Linked DNA regions of Arabidopsis thaliana. Each later gene encodes a partner of the first gene's protein in a complex. Each region holds a gene or a part of one and is shown in the gene's direction. Other genes may lie near its edges.

The links. Proteins that work in one complex are often made in the same cells at the same time.
Region 2: HA2 (region 1) and PSKR1 share a complex: the UniProt entries of both Arabidopsis thaliana proteins name them as parts of the functional complex.

Annotation. Positions count from the first base shown.
Region 1 is NC_003075.7:14,767,671-14,777,640, reverse strand, and holds HA2 (H[+]-ATPase 2), read left to right. Parts: upstream 1-1,582; 5' UTR 1,583-1,720; coding exon 1,721-1,762; intron 1,763-2,775; coding exon 2,776-2,895; intron 2,896-2,994; coding exon 2,995-3,231; intron 3,232-3,339; coding exon 3,340-4,101; intron 4,102-4,188; coding exon 4,189-4,311; intron 4,312-4,390; coding exon 4,391-4,495; intron 4,496-4,598; coding exon 4,599-4,743; intron 4,744-4,832; coding exon 4,833-5,335; intron 5,336-5,434; coding exon 5,435-5,467; intron 5,468-5,559; coding exon 5,560-5,641; intron 5,642-5,744; coding exon 5,745-5,905; intron 5,906-6,001; coding exon 6,002-6,175; intron 6,176-6,271; coding exon 6,272-6,636; intron 6,637-6,727; coding exon 6,728-6,821; 3' UTR 6,822-7,076; downstream 7,077-9,970. Other genes in the region: AT4G30180 (uncharacterized protein), read right to left, coding at 8,137-8,613. UniProt on the Arabidopsis thaliana protein: The plasma membrane H(+) ATPase of plants and fungi generates a proton gradient that drives the active transport of nutrients by H(+)-symport. The resulting external acidification and/or internal alkinization may mediate growth responses.
Region 2 is NC_003071.7:582,223-590,461, reverse strand, and holds PSKR1 (phytosulfokin receptor 1), read left to right. Parts: upstream 1-3,060; 5' UTR 3,061-3,337; coding exon 3,338-6,364; 3' UTR 6,365-6,665; downstream 6,666-8,239. Other genes in the region: PP2-B1 (phloem protein 2-B1), read left to right, coding at 1-69. UniProt on the Arabidopsis thaliana protein: Phytosulfokine receptor with both a serine/threonine-protein kinase activity and a guanylate cyclase activity.

The DNA of each region.
Region 1 (9,970 bases):
CTTATATTTTAAATAATTTAGTTAAGGTTCATTTGAGCTGCAAAATTAAATACATAGTGAACTTATTTTACTAGATTACCAAAATTATATTGGTAAAGAAATATTGTGGCAAACTGTAAATAAGTGATGTCTTTTTGTATTTTATTCAAATAAATAGTATGATATATATGTAAAGTATGTTACTGTATACAATAATCTAAAACTTGTTACCCCATGATAAAAAAATGTGATAAATAAAATCATTTTGTTTACAATTTTTCTATCCATCATTTGTGAAAAGAAAAGAAAAGACAAGAAATGATTTTCGTATCTTGTACATATTCTCTTTACCTAATTTACGAGACGTTTGTTTAGACTTGAACACTTATTAATTAGGACATGAATCCTAAGAAGTTAAAACGTAGAGGAGTTGGAAATGACGAACTTTGTATTATTGGGGGACCCATCACAATCAAAAGTCAATTTCTCAGTATATCTTCAGAGGGAACAAATTTAATTAACACTATGGTTTTTATTCAATTATTAACATGTGACATCGTTCCCATTGCTGACCTTGCCATGAGGCACACCTTGGAAGGGCCAATATTTTCATTATCAACGTTAGGGCCACAAATAACTATATATATTAAAATTACTATTCTACAAATTACTACTATATAAATTAGTCCGTCGTAACTAATTACGATCCACACCAACTGATATAATGTAAAAATAGTAAGAAAAAGTAGTTTTCTTACCTGCTTAATCAAGGTATGTAGTTTTTGTTATAAGCATCTCTGTCAAAATTTCAGAGATTTAAAGTGTTTTGGCTTGGAGAAGTATTTGTATGGTTGAGAAAGAAAAAATGGAAACAAAACCGAAGTAACCCATTATTGCTTATCGAAAAAACAAATTTAGAAAAAACGAACCTAAACCAGTTGGAAAACGATTTTGTTAAGAAAATATAGTATTAGTTGAAATTTTCAGAAAGAAATATCTTTCTTTAAACAAAACCTAATAGGTGTCCAAAAAAAAAAAAAGAAAAATGAAGAAGAGGACAGGCTAAGCAGCAAGTAGTATGTTGCTTAGTCAAATATAAATTAAAAAATCCAAGCAATGTATACCTCCACCAAATATTTCTTTCTTGATATAATGATTCATGACAAAAGAAAGAAAAAAAACACCAAAGTCTATGATCTAGTAATTAAAAAAAGAGATATTACAAATTAGTTTCTCTTATAAGCTACTTCCTCCTTAGAGTCCCTTTTCAAACTACTATAAAACATCAAAATATCTCAAAATAAAAAGAAAATAAGAATTATTAACGGTAGAAAATTTTGTTGTTTAAAATGAACAATTATTCCATAATTAAAGTGTAATTAGGACCCACAAAATATATACAAATTTGATTCGGGTTCATAAGCCAAAAATATTACATTAATCAACGGTCAAAGGGTGATTAAGAACTTAAAGAGGCAGCAAAATAAATAAAAAGGGTAATAAATATAGAGAGACTACTTGGTAATGGGACCCACATAGCCAAAACGGCGGAGAAAATCGTCGTTTTTAGTGGCTTATAAAAAGAGGACTCGTATCGACTCTGCAACAGAACCACCTAATCTCTCCTCCTCTCCTTCTCTCTATTTTGCCGGAATACATATGATCGAGTGAAACGGCGGACAAAGCTGTCGTGTTGAGTACTAATTCGCCGTCGTTTTTCTCAGTGAAGGAGTGGTGAGAGATGTCGAGTCTCGAAGATATCAAGAACGAGACTGTTGATCTGGTATACCATTTTTTATCCTCTGTTTTTATTTTATGCTCACAAACTGTTCGATGATCTGCCTGAATGAGAGTAGATCTGTATCCACTTGGTGGCTTTAAAGTCTTTCCTTGGTTATTACTTACTCTCATTATGGTTTCGTTTTTTATATATACATTTTCATCGATTTAGTTTTGAATATGTGAAATTTGTTTAGAAAGACTATATTTTTGTTTCTGGGTAGTAATTAAGTCTAAGAAACGTTTGGAGGACATGAAGAGTTTGTTCATGAGAAAAAAGTAGATCTAAGCATGTGATATACTAGTAAACAAACAAGATAAAGAAAACAGAGTCTCTTTTTTCAGTGGTGGAGCTAGCTACGTCTCAATAAAGTCCAAACCTACTTGTACAATGTTTTGTCTTCTCTTTTTTTGGTTACTAGTAAGAATTTATTTGGTGGTATTTAGAAAAAATAAATATGACTTTAATCAAATCTGTTACTTAACACGAAGTTCGGATTTTTTTTTTGGTTGTACCTTTCCGTGGTACGTTTAACTTCTCTGTCTTTAGCAACCAACAAAAAAGAACACATCTTTTGTGCAGACGTAACTTCTTTTCTGTGTTTCTTGGGACAATAATTTGAATCTTTTTTATTAAAATGCTACTTTTACATAACTTTGGACTGTATTTACGCGACCAAGCCTCGATTTTTACGCCGGGAAGTGAGGGGAATCTTTCGGCGCGTGTGTTTCACGTCGCCATCACGTTGGTCGGTGGTGGCGGTCCCCACTTCACCACCGCTATTTCCCCCCCGCCAAAAATATTTCATTGTCACCGAACTAGTCAACGACTTTTTTCCAACTATTGTACTTATGAAACAGAGTAGATTTATCTACGGTTACAAAATCATCAAAGTTTTCTGTTTTACTTAAGAAAAGGTTTCTCCTTTTTAAGGTTTAGAAACTTGTTTTGTGTATGTGAAAGTTTGAGTTGTTTGGATTTGGTCATCTGATCGAATTTGCTTTTGATTTTTTCAGGAAAAAATTCCGATTGAGGAAGTTTTCCAGCAGCTAAAATGTTCAAGGGAAGGATTGACAACGCAGGAAGGGGAGGACAGGATTCAGATCTTTGGCCCCAACAAGCTCGAAGAGAAAAAGGTCTGATTTTGCATTTGTAGCTCTCAGATAAAATACATAGTTGGTCTCCTTTTTTTTTGTTACTGAGTGTTTGGTGATTTGTGCAATGAAAATTGACAGGAAAGCAAACTTCTGAAGTTTTTGGGGTTTATGTGGAATCCACTTTCATGGGTCATGGAAATGGCTGCAATCATGGCCATTGCTTTGGCCAACGGTGATGGTAGGCCTCCGGATTGGCAGGATTTTGTTGGTATTATCTGTCTGTTGGTTATCAACTCTACCATCAGTTTTATCGAAGAAAACAATGCTGGTAATGCTGCTGCTGCTCTTATGGCTGGTCTTGCTCCTAAAACCAAGGTATATATATGATAAGAGAATGAATGGTGTGAATTTGTTATACAGAACTTTCTGAATTTTCCCTAGAGCTAATGTTTTGGTTCTTGTTGTGATGTTTCTCTGTTTCAGGTTCTTAGGGATGGAAAGTGGAGTGAACAAGAAGCTGCTATTCTTGTCCCAGGAGATATTGTTAGCATTAAATTAGGAGACATTATCCCAGCTGATGCCCGTCTACTTGAAGGTGATCCTTTAAAGGTTGACCAATCTGCTCTAACTGGAGAGTCCCTTCCTGTAACCAAGCACCCGGGTCAAGAAGTTTTCTCTGGTTCAACCTGCAAACAAGGAGAAATCGAGGCGGTTGTTATTGCCACTGGGGTTCATACCTTCTTCGGTAAAGCTGCTCACCTTGTGGACAGCACTAACCAAGTTGGACATTTCCAGAAGGTTCTTACAGCCATTGGGAACTTCTGTATCTGTTCCATTGCTATCGGTATGGTGATTGAGATCATCGTCATGTATCCGATCCAACGCCGAAAGTACAGAGATGGAATTGACAACCTTTTGGTCCTCTTGATCGGTGGTATCCCCATTGCTATGCCTACAGTCTTGTCCGTGACCATGGCTATTGGGTCTCACAGGTTGTCTCAGCAAGGTGCCATCACCAAGCGTATGACTGCCATTGAAGAGATGGCAGGAATGGATGTCCTGTGCAGTGACAAAACCGGGACACTAACCCTCAACAAATTGAGTGTGGACAAAAACTTGGTCGAGGTTTTCTGCAAGGGTGTGGAGAAAGATCAAGTCCTATTATTTGCAGCTATGGCTTCCAGGGTTGAGAACCAGGATGCCATTGATGCAGCCATGGTTGGGATGCTTGCTGATCCAAAGGAGGTATAACCCTTTTTGGTTCACATGTTATTTGTAGTTTTACTGAGCGTCCAAGAAACATGTTCTGATGTTTGATTGGGATTTTCACAGGCTAGAGCTGGAATCAGGGAAGTTCACTTCCTTCCATTCAACCCTGTGGATAAGAGAACTGCTTTGACTTACATTGACGGCAGTGGTAACTGGCACAGAGTCAGTAAAGGTGCTCCTGAGCAGGTGATGGATCTTAATTTTACAAGCTAATCCTTTTTTTTTCTTACCTTTCTTTTTTATACTGATTTGATTCTCCCAACAGATCCTCGAACTTGCCAAAGCCAGCAATGATCTTAGCAAGAAGGTGCTCTCCATTATTGACAAGTATGCTGAGCGTGGTCTTAGGTCGTTGGCTGTTGCTCGCCAGGTACTTATTCGCCATTAATACTGATAGTTCCAGTCCCTTTTTGCTTTTCTTTTCTCAGTGGTAACAAATGTTCAACTGTTTGTCTTCTTATTCCCTTTTGTAGGTGGTGCCAGAGAAAACAAAGGAAAGCCCAGGTGCGCCATGGGAATTTGTTGGCTTGTTGCCACTTTTTGATCCCCCAAGACATGACAGTGCTGAAACAATTCGACGGGCTTTGAATCTTGGTGTTAACGTCAAGATGATCACTGGTAAATTTGTCTACCCATCTATCTTGTTGTGCTAGCTATACACCTTCACAAGTTCCCCCTAACATTCTCTTGAACACATATGTGGCCAGGTGACCAACTTGCTATTGGTAAGGAAACTGGTCGCAGACTTGGAATGGGAACAAACATGTATCCATCTTCGGCTCTTCTTGGTACACACAAAGACGCAAACCTCGCATCCATTCCTGTTGAGGAGTTGATTGAAAAGGCTGATGGATTTGCCGGAGTCTTCCCAGGTTATAATCTGCTTATTTATTGTTTGGATTATAAACCTCACTATATGTTCATTGCAAAGGTGGTGATGTTAGTTCTAAGCTTTGTTTTTTTTATTGCAGAGCACAAATACGAAATTGTGAAAAAGTTGCAGGAGAGGAAGCATATTGTTGGAATGACTGGTGATGGTGTCAATGATGCCCCTGCTCTAAAGAAAGCTGATATCGGTATTGCTGTTGCTGATGCTACAGATGCTGCTCGTGGTGCTTCAGATATCGTGCTCACTGAGCCTGGACTCAGCGTTATTATCAGTGCTGTTCTCACCAGCAGAGCTATTTTCCAGAGAATGAAGAACTATACTGTGCGTCTTCTCCTATTTTTCATCCTTAATTTATTCCAACCACTTGCTTGCTTGCAATTGAAACTAATTACTCTGTTCTATTTTTCTCTCTTGTTACAGATCTATGCAGTCTCAATCACCATCCGTATTGTGGTATGCAAATAAATCCGTTTGAGTTCTGGCCCTTGTTGGTTTTATCTTGGATTAATAGTATGCTGATCATATTGCGTTGAAACTTTTTGCAGTTTGGTTTCATGCTTATTGCTTTGATATGGGAATTTGACTTCTCAGCCTTCATGGTTCTGATCATTGCCATTCTTAACGACGGTGAGCAATGGCTGTCCTTTTGTATAAACCTCAAAATTTGTTTACTTTTTCTACAATGTTTACTTATATCTTTTGGTATTGTGTTGCTATCTTGATCTTATAGGTACCATCATGACAATCTCAAAGGACAGAGTTAAGCCATCTCCCACACCTGATAGCTGGAAACTTAAAGAAATTTTTGCTACTGGAGTCGTTCTAGGAGGCTACCAGGCCATCATGACTGTTATTTTCTTCTGGGCGGCGCACAAGACTGACTTTTTCTCGGTACATACAATTGAGCTAATTAATTTCTCTTTTACAGAAGTTTTTTCTTAGGTTCTTGTTCAGAGTTGTAAAGTAAATTTCACATTGGATTCACAGGACACATTCGGTGTGAGGTCCATTAGGGACAATAACCACGAGCTAATGGGTGCGGTGTACTTACAAGTTAGTATCATTAGTCAAGCTCTGATCTTCGTCACAAGATCAAGGAGTTGGTCTTTTGTTGAACGTCCTGGAGCATTGCTGATGATTGCTTTCCTCATTGCACAACTGGTAAGTTCATCAAATCAACATTTTAAGGGAATTCTTGTTTGGTAAAAAGGTTCTCAAAGAAGCACCCGTTAAATCCATTCATTCTTCCAAATGCAGATTGCTACTTTGATTGCGGTTTACGCCAACTGGGAATTTGCAAAGATTAGGGGTATTGGATGGGGATGGGCTGGTGTGATCTGGCTATACAGTATTGTCACATACTTCCCATTGGACGTTTTCAAGTTTGCCATTCGATACATCTTGAGCGGAAAGGCGTGGCTCAACTTGTTTGAGAACAAGACGGCTTTCACGATGAAGAAAGATTACGGAAAAGAAGAGAGAGAGGCTCAATGGGCACTTGCTCAAAGGACACTTCACGGTTTACAGCCAAAAGAAGCTGTTAACATCTTCCCTGAGAAAGGAAGTTACAGAGAATTGTCTGAGATCGCTGAGCAAGCTAAGAGAAGAGCTGAGATCGCTAGGTAATAAATCCGATCACACACGATTCTTTTTAATCTAAGTGTATTTTTTTGTTGGAATTAAACACTAATTGAATTGTTATATGTTAAACAGGCTTAGGGAGCTGCACACACTCAAGGGACATGTGGAATCAGTCGTGAAGCTAAAGGGCTTGGACATTGAAACTCCCAGTCACTACACTGTGTAGTAAAACCAAACATATGACTGATCTTCGATCCTCTCATGTTTTGTCTTCTTCTTCTTCTTTTTTTCTTCACCACCTCTTATGATTATTATTCACATAGGGAGAGATCTTTGTTTATTGCCATAACTCTTCCCAAACCTTATTGTTAGTGTTCTTGTTTCTCAAATATGTACTTTTGCATAATTTGCTCTTTTGAAGAAACAAGGCATGCCTTTGTGTTTGGCATTTGGCACATGCACATTCTCTTCTTTGCTCTTATTCCATGAGCCTATGTAATCTTAATCTTCTTCTTTTTCGTAATCCAACTTTTCTTCCGGCTTCTTTACTTTTATATATAGTACCTAAATGTTATTTATACCTAGGGACAACAAACAATTTGCTTATTTAAATCAAATTTTGTTTGTTGTAAAGAAGGGAAATAACCATAATTTTTTCTTTTTTTTTTTCACTGAAACCAAATCAATTAAATAACACTATCCTTTAAAAATGCCATTAAAAACATGACATGAGACAAGTTGTGTGGAAGTAGTACGGCTAGAATCTTAAGAGAAATAGAGAGATTTGGATGCGTGCGAGTGACTGTGAGACACGTGCAAAGATATGGATGATGACTTCAAATCAATGTTATGACTTTCATAGTTTACACATATGTCATCCAACTTTCCTCCTTTTTAGATATTTACAATTTCGGCGTTTTGTTTTTCATATTCATCGAATTTTTTGGAAAGTAATTCTAGTCCAGTAGTCCTAATTTTTGTTTACATTTTAATGGTGCACCTGTAGTTACTGCAGCTGGAACATATTGGTGATCTCTACTAATGTGTAGCTTTTATTTAATTGAAGATTTGTTACATCTGATTTTTTGTAGTCGAAAGTTCATATGTTTTCGCTAAAGGAGAAAAAAAACTTGCAGGAATATAAATATATACACAAACACAAAGTTTGTCAGGTTAAAATGATTAGAATATTAAAGTTTGGAGATTTGCTCATAACATTAAAATAATAAATTCAGGAAAAAAAGACAACATAAGAGTTTTATTTTAGGCAGCACATCGTCTATTTGGCATTACAACCAATAATTTAAATTTCAATCAGATTTTGATCGAATTTTATAAGATGTACGTATAAACGGCCATGTGTGGTACTTTAGGTATTTCGGTAACCATGATTAATTAAGAAAAGGAAAAAAGAAAAACACTATAATACATGCTCTTGTTCTTAAAGAAATCAAGAGAAAAAAAAAAACACAGATGATTTTCGTTTAAAGACAACAAAAAAAACATGAAACAAACTATAAATTATACACTTAAACTAAAAGTCAAGTACTATCTTGAACAATGGACTTGAGAGCAATCGTCTGCAACTCAAGACATTTAATGTAGTTACCAATCTCACTCAACATTTCTTCCACATTCATCTCTTCCCCACCTGGCAAAAGCTTCTTCAATTCCCTCAGTCTCTCCTCTATCCCTCCTTCTTCGTTTCCGCCTTCTTTATCGGGTCTTTCAAGAATCCGAATTCCATCGGAAGAAGAACTAGTGGTAGTGGTTGGATTCGATGAGGACGATAGCTTCTGCAGCAAGAAACGGCTCCATGCAAATTCTTGAGCAGACAAAGCCAAAGCCATATCTACTTCATGCTTCACGGTTTGTTTTGAAGAGTTCTTGTTCATGTTGAGCTTCTTGAGTGCAGGAACCAAGTGGCTTGTGTATTTTCTCGTGAAAACTGCACTAGGGTTCTTGTTTGGTTCAAGAGAAAACACTCGTTTCTTCCTGTTTATGATTTGCCTCTCCATATGAGAAACTATTTTTGCTGCAAATGAAAGTCTACAAGGGAGAAAGTTACATATATAGCAAACTTAGAATATGAGAGAGACAAAGAAAGAGAAGAGCGGTGTCCTACGTTTGTTTGTATATAACAAGCGTTGATGATGTATAAAGTAAAGTTGTAGAACTTAATTTTCTTTGTATACATATATGAGGTAATATGTTTGGGAGTGTTATTATTTTTCGTTCACGTACAAAACACAAGACTATTTGAAAGTCGTAGTTAGTAGTTTTCTTTTTTAGACAAATATTTTAAAAACAACGGAATTTGAATATCATCAACTAATATATGTTTTTTTGTATAATACATTTATTTTTAGAAAATACACGAAAACAAAAAGAGAGTGTGTATATATATATATATATATATATATATACATAAATAAAGAGAGAAAAATAAGAAAAGAAGAATTTGGGAATAATAATGGGTGAGGGAAGAAAAAACACATGGAGTCACATGCAAGAGCTCTAATTTGGCTGCATCACAACTACCCCTAAAGAGGTGCTTTGAGAGACCCTTTTACCATGTGGCTCCATTCCAAGAACAAGACATCAATACAAAACCCCACCTTCTCTTAATGCTTTCACATGTTCCTTCCTCTTAACCTCTCTCTCTCTCACTCACTCACTCACACACTTTGTATATACATAATACATGTATGCATGTGTATGTGTCCTTGGACCAATCTCCTAATTAGTTTGATCAATCTATGTCATTTCTACCCATATTATCTTAATATAGATCTCCCTCATATTATATATACCATTTGACCTTCTTTTTTTTTATGCTGCATGTGTGATGAATTTGGGTTTCACTACCCACTACTTTTGCGATATTTGGATACAGATGGTAACTTGCTAAACAGAAATTTAGTTATTATTAGTGGTAGTTCAATTGGTGATCTGTACAACATATCAAGACAAACATCTTTGAAACTGAATTTTACTGCCACTGTAACTAATATGACGTAGATACAAGTTTCTTTACTACGCATATTAACATAAAGTTAAGATGCATGTGGTCAGTAATTGGGTTATTAATACGTTTTATTTGTCAAGGACTTTTAGTCGTGATTTTTTGATTCTAAGCATCATTGCATTCCAGGTTTAAAGATGACTTTAATTTTTCCTATAGGATTTGTAAATAGATAAATATAGTTTATGTTGACACAAAAGGTCACCTTTGATATGATATGAAAGTCTGGGTGTTACTCATTTGTTATTTTATTTTTATTTTTTAAAATATATACCGAATCATTTAGATATATATATATATATATATATATAATAATAATAATAATAATAATAACAATAAAATGTCCAAAC
Region 2 (8,239 bases), on another chromosome or scaffold:
CAGAATGGAAATTGGAAGAGTGGTTTGATTATTCAGGGAATTGAGATCAGGCCTGAAAGAAGCAACTGATTTTGATCAAATTGTGTATTTTGAAGTATGAAACACAGTTTTAAAAACATGTCTTCTAATGTCTCGAGTTTACTTACAGTTTGGAGTTCTTGATATGAAATAGCAGAGAAGTTGATAATTCTCTATCTTGTGTACTAATGTCTGAATAGCAAGAAGAAAGATGGTTCATGATTCTTATGTTTCCCATTCATTTCACCATTGTGACTATCTTTCTTCTGTTTCCTGTTTCCACATCCATACATGTCATCTTGAGTCTTGGTTCAACACTCTTTTGCTTAGTCATGCCCTGTAGCTGAAACCATTTGTCCATGATTCACACATTCGCTCAGTTAAATGTCTAAAACGTTTATATTCCTACCTAGTAACTACCATCTTCTAGATCACGCCTGGAAAAAGAAGACATCGTGTAGCTGAATGATCTCTTGTGATTTGTGAACAAAGTGTATATGGTTATTTTGATTTGTTGAGAAAACAGAAAAGATCAAGGCTTTTTGTGATGTGAATACAACAAACCCAAGCAAGTAAAACTGGGTCAGTTCTAATCTAACTTCGAAGGCTTTTAAGAAAAACTATACTATGGGCTTTGTTGCACACATTACGAAAACAACAACCTTGGGTTTTTAGTGAATAGAAATAGTTGAGCTTTTAAACTCTGAAAGATTGTGAATTGTGTTGTGTAACAAAGCAAGAGCATTTTTTTATTTCATTTTCAAATATTATCTTTCACATTTGTTTCGTTTTTCTATTTAAACTGCAATGTTTTTTTGGGTCAAACTACAAAGTTTTTTTCTATTTTGGGTATTTTTCCTATAAATTTAGTAGTTAGGATCGTAGTATATTTTAGGAGTTTTAGAGACATACGGGAAAGGTAGGAAAATATTAGAAAGGGTAAATATCAGTCATCTTTATTTACATTCTAATTTATACTTTTTTACCAAAAAAAATCGTTGTATGTTAGCAACAACCAGCAAGAGTATTATTAGTTTATTACCAATCAAAGTCACACTATTTGTAATATCATATATATCAAAATTAGCTATAATAAACTATAAAACTTAGTAAGTCAATTTTCAGAAGAAAAAAAGAACCTATAAAAGACTAACGAAAGCCGATTATATCGAAGCCATTACGAGCCACATGGTATTGAAGATTAATTATAGAGTTGAATAGTCGATGTCACATGCTTTGACTGTCTCCTTCATTATAGATATCGACATTAATATTTTATTATTAACATGGAATCGTATCTTAACTTTTCCACGTAAAACAATATTTAATCTCTTTATGAAAGATCATGCACACACTAGGAAAACTATATAAGTGATTTCTTATATGGTAAACCAACTTTGAATGTAGGCTAATTAGTTTATTAAGCAATATAGTCTTTTATGTCTATGTTCAATTCACCATTCACCCATATTGTCCTCATTTACTTATAAATCAAGTAAACCATCAAAGAAAGTTGTGTAAACAGCCTATTTTTCTTTAAGAAATAAATCATGGCAAGAAAATGTGAGACTTTTTGGTTTTATTTTGTTAAAATGACAATCTATTATCCTTTTCTTTTTTTCGAACAATCTATAACGTGTATATTACTACAAAGGTATAAGAGAATCCATTTTTTAACTGCCAAGATTAATTTTTTTTTTTCGATTCTTTCCAATTAATTAATAACGGATTCTATCGACAAAATTTAGGATAGCGTTACATATAAAAGTAATATTAACGCATCCTAAATTTGTCGTTTTTAAAAGAAAAAAGTATTAACGACAAAAAATAATCCTTTAGCAATGAAAATTGGTGATAAAAAAACTGAAGAAAAAAGCAATGAAATTTATGTTCCTATACCGACTATTTTTTAGTTTCTTTTATATAAAATATAAAATAGTTTATATATAACCGTTCTTTTATTTTTTTATCGTCTACAACTCACATACGTTACACTTTTATAGTTATACTTCTAAATTAGAAGTCAAGTTATTGTATAGTGATATTATAAACTTCAAGTTATACAAGTCCGGTCATATGAAATTAATATTAGTAATTTGATTGGAATTATAACGTATTGATTTGGACATGTAAATAGCTAAAAAAAAATAGCTCCTATATTAGATTCTTTTAACCAACAAATACAACAATTAAGTTGATAACCTTCCTCTTTGAAGTATTTCAAGATTTTATGGAAAAAACTCAAGATTTTTTTCCGAAGCTTTTATCGGAAACTAAAGAATATCTAGTAGGTCTATTTTCATTCATTATCAACTTGCGAAAAAAGAGAAACAATGTCAATAATTAATGTAAATAGAAAAAAAAAAAAATTGTAGTTGAGAAGAGAGAGAGATGCAAAGGTGTCAACGTCCGTGCTTTGACTTCTATCTTTTCTCTTGTCCTCATCTTAAATCCTCAAAGCTGACCTAACCGGTCACTCCCTTCTTCTCCGGTCATCTTTAATTATTATTCAATTAACCCATAATCAAATTTTAATATAAAAATTAACCATTTGCAAAATAAAATCAATATAATTAATAAAAGCTACTCCTTTACCTTTTTATTGCATAGAAACTACTAAAATATAAATCTACCATTTGCAGAATAATCGGCAAAAAACCATAAAGAAACATTTATAGTCACATAATTTTGCATATATTTTTCTAAATTCGATCACTTTCATCATTCATTATTCATTAATCGTTCCAAATTTTCTTCTGCCTATCCGTTGAACGACAAACTATTCAAAGTAAAAGATTTAGACAAAAAAATAAAAAAAATATTTAGAGAAAGACTTTCCTAAGTCAATGTTATTGATTAAGACTTCATATATGACTAAACACACTCAATTATAATTGACAAAACACGGAAAAGATTTGTCTATAACAAATTTTCCAAAAACACAAATTAATTCACAAAATATTTGGAAAAATAATATTTATTCAAAGCTTCTTATTTCTTCTTCTTCTTTATTTAAAGATTTTTACTGTTTGCTCTGTATCAGAAAAAAGACCAAACACAACTCTTCCACTTTCTATCTCTCTCTAGAATTTTGCTTGCATTAAAACAACACCCACTACTTGCTGTTGCGTGTTGAAGTCAAAAGTCGCCATTTTTCTCTCTCTTGCTTCTTCATCTTCATTGATCATCATCTAAAATGGCAATAATCAGAAAACCCGTTTCGTATACTCTCAGATTTCTCAAGGGTTTTTGTTGAATCTTAATTCTTCTCTCAAAGTTTCTTCCTTTATATTCTTCTTCTTCTTCCTCTGTTCTTGAAATGCGTGTTCATCGTTTTTGTGTGATCGTCATCTTCCTCACAGAGTTACTATGTTTCTTCTATTCCTCGGAATCTCAGACCACCTCCAGGTGCCATCCACATGACCTCGAAGCCTTACGTGACTTCATAGCACATCTCGAACCAAAACCAGATGGTTGGATCAATTCTTCTTCTTCTACAGACTGCTGCAACTGGACCGGAATCACCTGCAATTCAAACAACACCGGAAGAGTTATTAGATTGGAGCTTGGGAACAAAAAGCTGTCGGGGAAGTTGTCTGAATCTCTCGGGAAGCTAGATGAGATTAGGGTTCTTAATCTCTCTCGAAACTTCATCAAAGATTCGATCCCTCTTTCGATTTTCAACTTGAAGAATCTACAAACTCTTGATTTGAGCTCTAATGATCTCTCCGGCGGAATCCCAACAAGTATAAATCTCCCAGCTCTGCAAAGTTTTGATCTTTCTTCAAATAAATTCAATGGGTCGCTTCCGTCTCATATCTGCCATAACTCTACTCAAATTAGGGTTGTGAAACTTGCGGTGAACTACTTCGCCGGAAACTTCACTTCCGGGTTTGGGAAATGTGTCTTGCTTGAGCATCTCTGTCTTGGTATGAACGATCTTACTGGTAACATCCCTGAGGATTTGTTTCATCTCAAAAGATTGAATCTTTTAGGGATTCAAGAGAATCGTCTCTCTGGTTCGTTGAGTCGTGAGATTAGGAATCTCTCAAGTCTTGTTCGTCTTGATGTTTCTTGGAATTTGTTTTCCGGTGAAATCCCTGATGTGTTCGACGAATTGCCTCAGTTAAAGTTTTTCTTAGGTCAGACCAATGGATTCATTGGAGGAATACCTAAATCGTTGGCGAATTCACCGAGTTTGAATCTGCTTAACTTGAGGAACAATTCTTTATCGGGTCGTTTGATGTTGAATTGTACGGCGATGATTGCTTTGAACTCTCTTGATTTAGGTACCAATAGATTCAATGGGAGGTTACCTGAGAATCTACCGGATTGCAAGCGGTTAAAGAACGTTAACCTCGCGAGGAACACCTTCCATGGACAAGTACCAGAGAGTTTCAAGAACTTCGAGAGCTTATCTTACTTCTCGTTATCGAATTCGAGTTTGGCTAATATCTCTTCAGCGCTTGGGATACTTCAGCATTGCAAGAACTTGACGACTTTGGTTCTTACATTGAATTTCCATGGAGAGGCTTTACCCGATGATTCAAGTCTTCATTTCGAGAAGCTTAAGGTGCTTGTAGTGGCGAATTGTAGGCTTACTGGTTCGATGCCGAGGTGGTTAAGCTCGAGTAATGAACTTCAGTTGTTGGATCTTTCTTGGAACCGTTTAACCGGCGCTATCCCGAGCTGGATTGGTGACTTCAAGGCTCTGTTCTACTTGGATTTATCTAACAACTCGTTTACAGGAGAGATCCCTAAGAGCTTAACTAAGTTAGAGAGTCTCACTAGCCGTAATATCTCAGTCAATGAGCCATCTCCTGATTTCCCGTTCTTTATGAAAAGAAACGAGAGCGCGAGAGCGTTGCAATACAATCAGATTTTCGGGTTCCCGCCAACGATTGAGCTTGGTCATAACAATCTCTCTGGACCTATTTGGGAGGAGTTTGGTAATCTGAAGAAGCTTCATGTGTTTGATTTGAAATGGAATGCATTATCTGGATCAATACCTAGCTCGCTTTCTGGTATGACGAGCTTGGAAGCTCTTGATCTCTCTAATAACCGTCTTTCGGGTTCGATCCCGGTTTCTCTGCAACAGCTCTCGTTTCTGTCGAAGTTCAGTGTTGCTTATAACAATCTCTCGGGAGTAATACCTTCCGGTGGTCAGTTTCAGACGTTTCCAAACTCGAGCTTTGAGAGTAACCATCTCTGCGGGGAACACAGATTCCCCTGTTCTGAAGGTACTGAGAGTGCATTGATCAAACGGTCAAGAAGAAGCAGAGGAGGTGACATTGGAATGGCGATTGGGATAGCGTTTGGTTCGGTTTTTCTTTTGACTCTTCTCTCGTTGATTGTGTTGCGTGCTCGTAGACGGTCAGGAGAAGTTGATCCGGAGATAGAAGAATCCGAGAGCATGAATCGTAAAGAACTCGGAGAGATTGGATCTAAGCTTGTGGTTTTGTTTCAGAGCAATGATAAAGAGCTCTCTTATGATGACCTTTTGGACTCAACAAATAGTTTTGATCAAGCTAACATCATTGGCTGTGGCGGGTTTGGTATGGTTTACAAAGCAACGTTACCAGACGGTAAGAAAGTTGCGATCAAGAAGTTATCCGGTGATTGCGGTCAAATCGAAAGAGAATTCGAAGCAGAAGTTGAAACACTCTCAAGAGCACAGCATCCAAATCTTGTTCTTCTCCGAGGATTCTGTTTCTACAAAAACGACCGGCTTTTAATCTACTCGTATATGGAAAACGGAAGCTTAGACTATTGGCTACACGAGCGTAACGACGGTCCAGCGTTGTTGAAGTGGAAAACACGTCTTAGAATCGCTCAAGGTGCTGCAAAAGGGTTACTTTACTTGCATGAAGGGTGTGATCCTCATATCTTACACCGCGATATTAAATCGAGTAATATTCTTCTCGACGAGAATTTCAACTCTCATTTAGCGGATTTCGGACTCGCAAGGCTGATGAGTCCTTACGAGACGCATGTAAGTACTGATTTGGTTGGAACTTTAGGTTACATTCCTCCGGAATACGGGCAAGCTTCGGTTGCTACTTACAAAGGCGATGTGTATAGTTTCGGAGTTGTGCTTCTCGAGCTTTTAACCGATAAAAGACCGGTGGATATGTGTAAACCGAAAGGGTGTAGGGATCTGATCTCGTGGGTCGTCAAGATGAAGCATGAGAGTCGAGCAAGCGAGGTTTTCGATCCGTTAATATACAGTAAAGAGAATGATAAAGAGATGTTTCGGGTTCTCGAGATTGCTTGTTTATGTTTAAGCGAAAACCCGAAACAGAGGCCAACGACTCAACAGTTAGTCTCTTGGCTTGATGATGTCTAGAAGAAAGAGGAACAATATCAGAGACACTATGATACATTTTGTAGGGAGTGATTTTCATACTTTTGAGATACAATGTAAATAGTTTTCAGATAATAATTTGTTTCTTCGTTTTCTTCTTCCATTTTTTTTATCTCAGTTTATGATTCAGATTCAGACATTAAAGATACTAGACAGAACATATACTGTCTCAGAAAAATGAAAAATCTTTTTGTAGTGTTTCAGAAATAATGAGTTCTTGAAAAAACATGTCTCAAGCAATTTAAATGAGCAACATAGATTAATAATTTGTGTTACATCTTTATTCTGTGATTTGCTTTGTGGATACTCTGTTGATTATGTTATACCTTTTAGAGATTTTTGGTTTAATTAAAAAATATATATATTTGGTAGCTAAATTCCTTTTGGTCTTCAACAAAAGAATTCCTTTTGGCCAACTATAGTCAATTTTTTGTTAAGAATCCATTACATTAACTTATTTTTTATGGGTGTGAAAATATTGTTCAACTCATTTGACCAAAAGAATTCAAAGATTATGACTTTGTAAGGTCAAAATATAATATTTGCTTCATTAGAAAGGTTTTCTATATATCGATTTCTCAGTCCCCAAAGACCACAAATTTATAGATTAGTACGCTTCCTATAATGGTTCCTTAAAAATTTTCAAAGATTGACTACAGATTCGATAGTGAAGATGTTCACTTCTGGCTTTTCTTCCACACTACATGAAAACAGCCAAAAATATAACAAATAAAATACAAGGAAAAAGAAAAAGAGCATTAAAAGTTTAAAACTTATGTATGATGATAAATATAAAAAAAAATATCGAAAAATGCATAAACTTTTAAATTTGAGACAAAAAAGCATGAACTTTTCAAAATGTCATTTAAATCATACGGTTTAGTTTGACTTTTTGCAAAAAAAGTGAAGTTTTATCAACTTTGCCATTTTCGGCAAGTCGTTAAATTTCCGTTAACGGGGATAACTTTCCTTTACAATTCTCCGTTAAATTAAAACGATTTTGTTTTGGAGTTTACCAAACAACGTAGTTTTAATAGAAAATAAATGGAAAATGCTTCCTAGGATAATCGTACTGTTGGCCTTTTGTACTCATAAGAGATACCCCATCGCTGAGATATGTCAACAATTTAATATATTACAAACAATATATATATATATATATATACTAAAAAATAACAATATACAACTAATAAAAAATACAATAAATTAAAAATAATAAAATTACAAATATATACTATTAAATATATTTACCATAATATAGATTTTGAAATTTCAGATATTTAATTTAATAAATAAAGTTTTTTTTTATATTTGGAAATTATTCTTTCCTAAATTATAGAAGAAAAAATGGCCAAGTCAAAGAAACTTAACCATTTTAGCAAAAAATTAAACTAAACTTTGTGATTTAAATAATATTTTACACTTTTTTTTTGTTCTAAATTTGAAAGTTTACACATTTTTTTACGTTTCCCCCTTAGAGTATTGGTACATGAGCATCTTTGTCTTAAGGGAGATTTGCAAAACTGCCATTATTCTAATAACCTTTTGTAAAAGTGCCCTTTCCTGAAGTCCATTTTTAAAACTACCCCTTCTAATATGCCAAATGACTGTCTTACCCTCTGAATGATTAGGTTTCACGTTGGTTTCACAAACTTCTTCGGCACAAACTTCTTCGTTTTCCTCTCCGATTTTCATCTCCGATTTCACTCAATCTCGCCGGCGAATTTCCTCTCCGATTTCACTCAAAATCGCCGACGAATTCCCTCTCCGATTTCACTCAAAATCGCCAACGAATTTCCTCTCCGATTTCACTCAAAATCGCCGACGAATTTTCTTTCTGAGAAACCCCAAAATCGC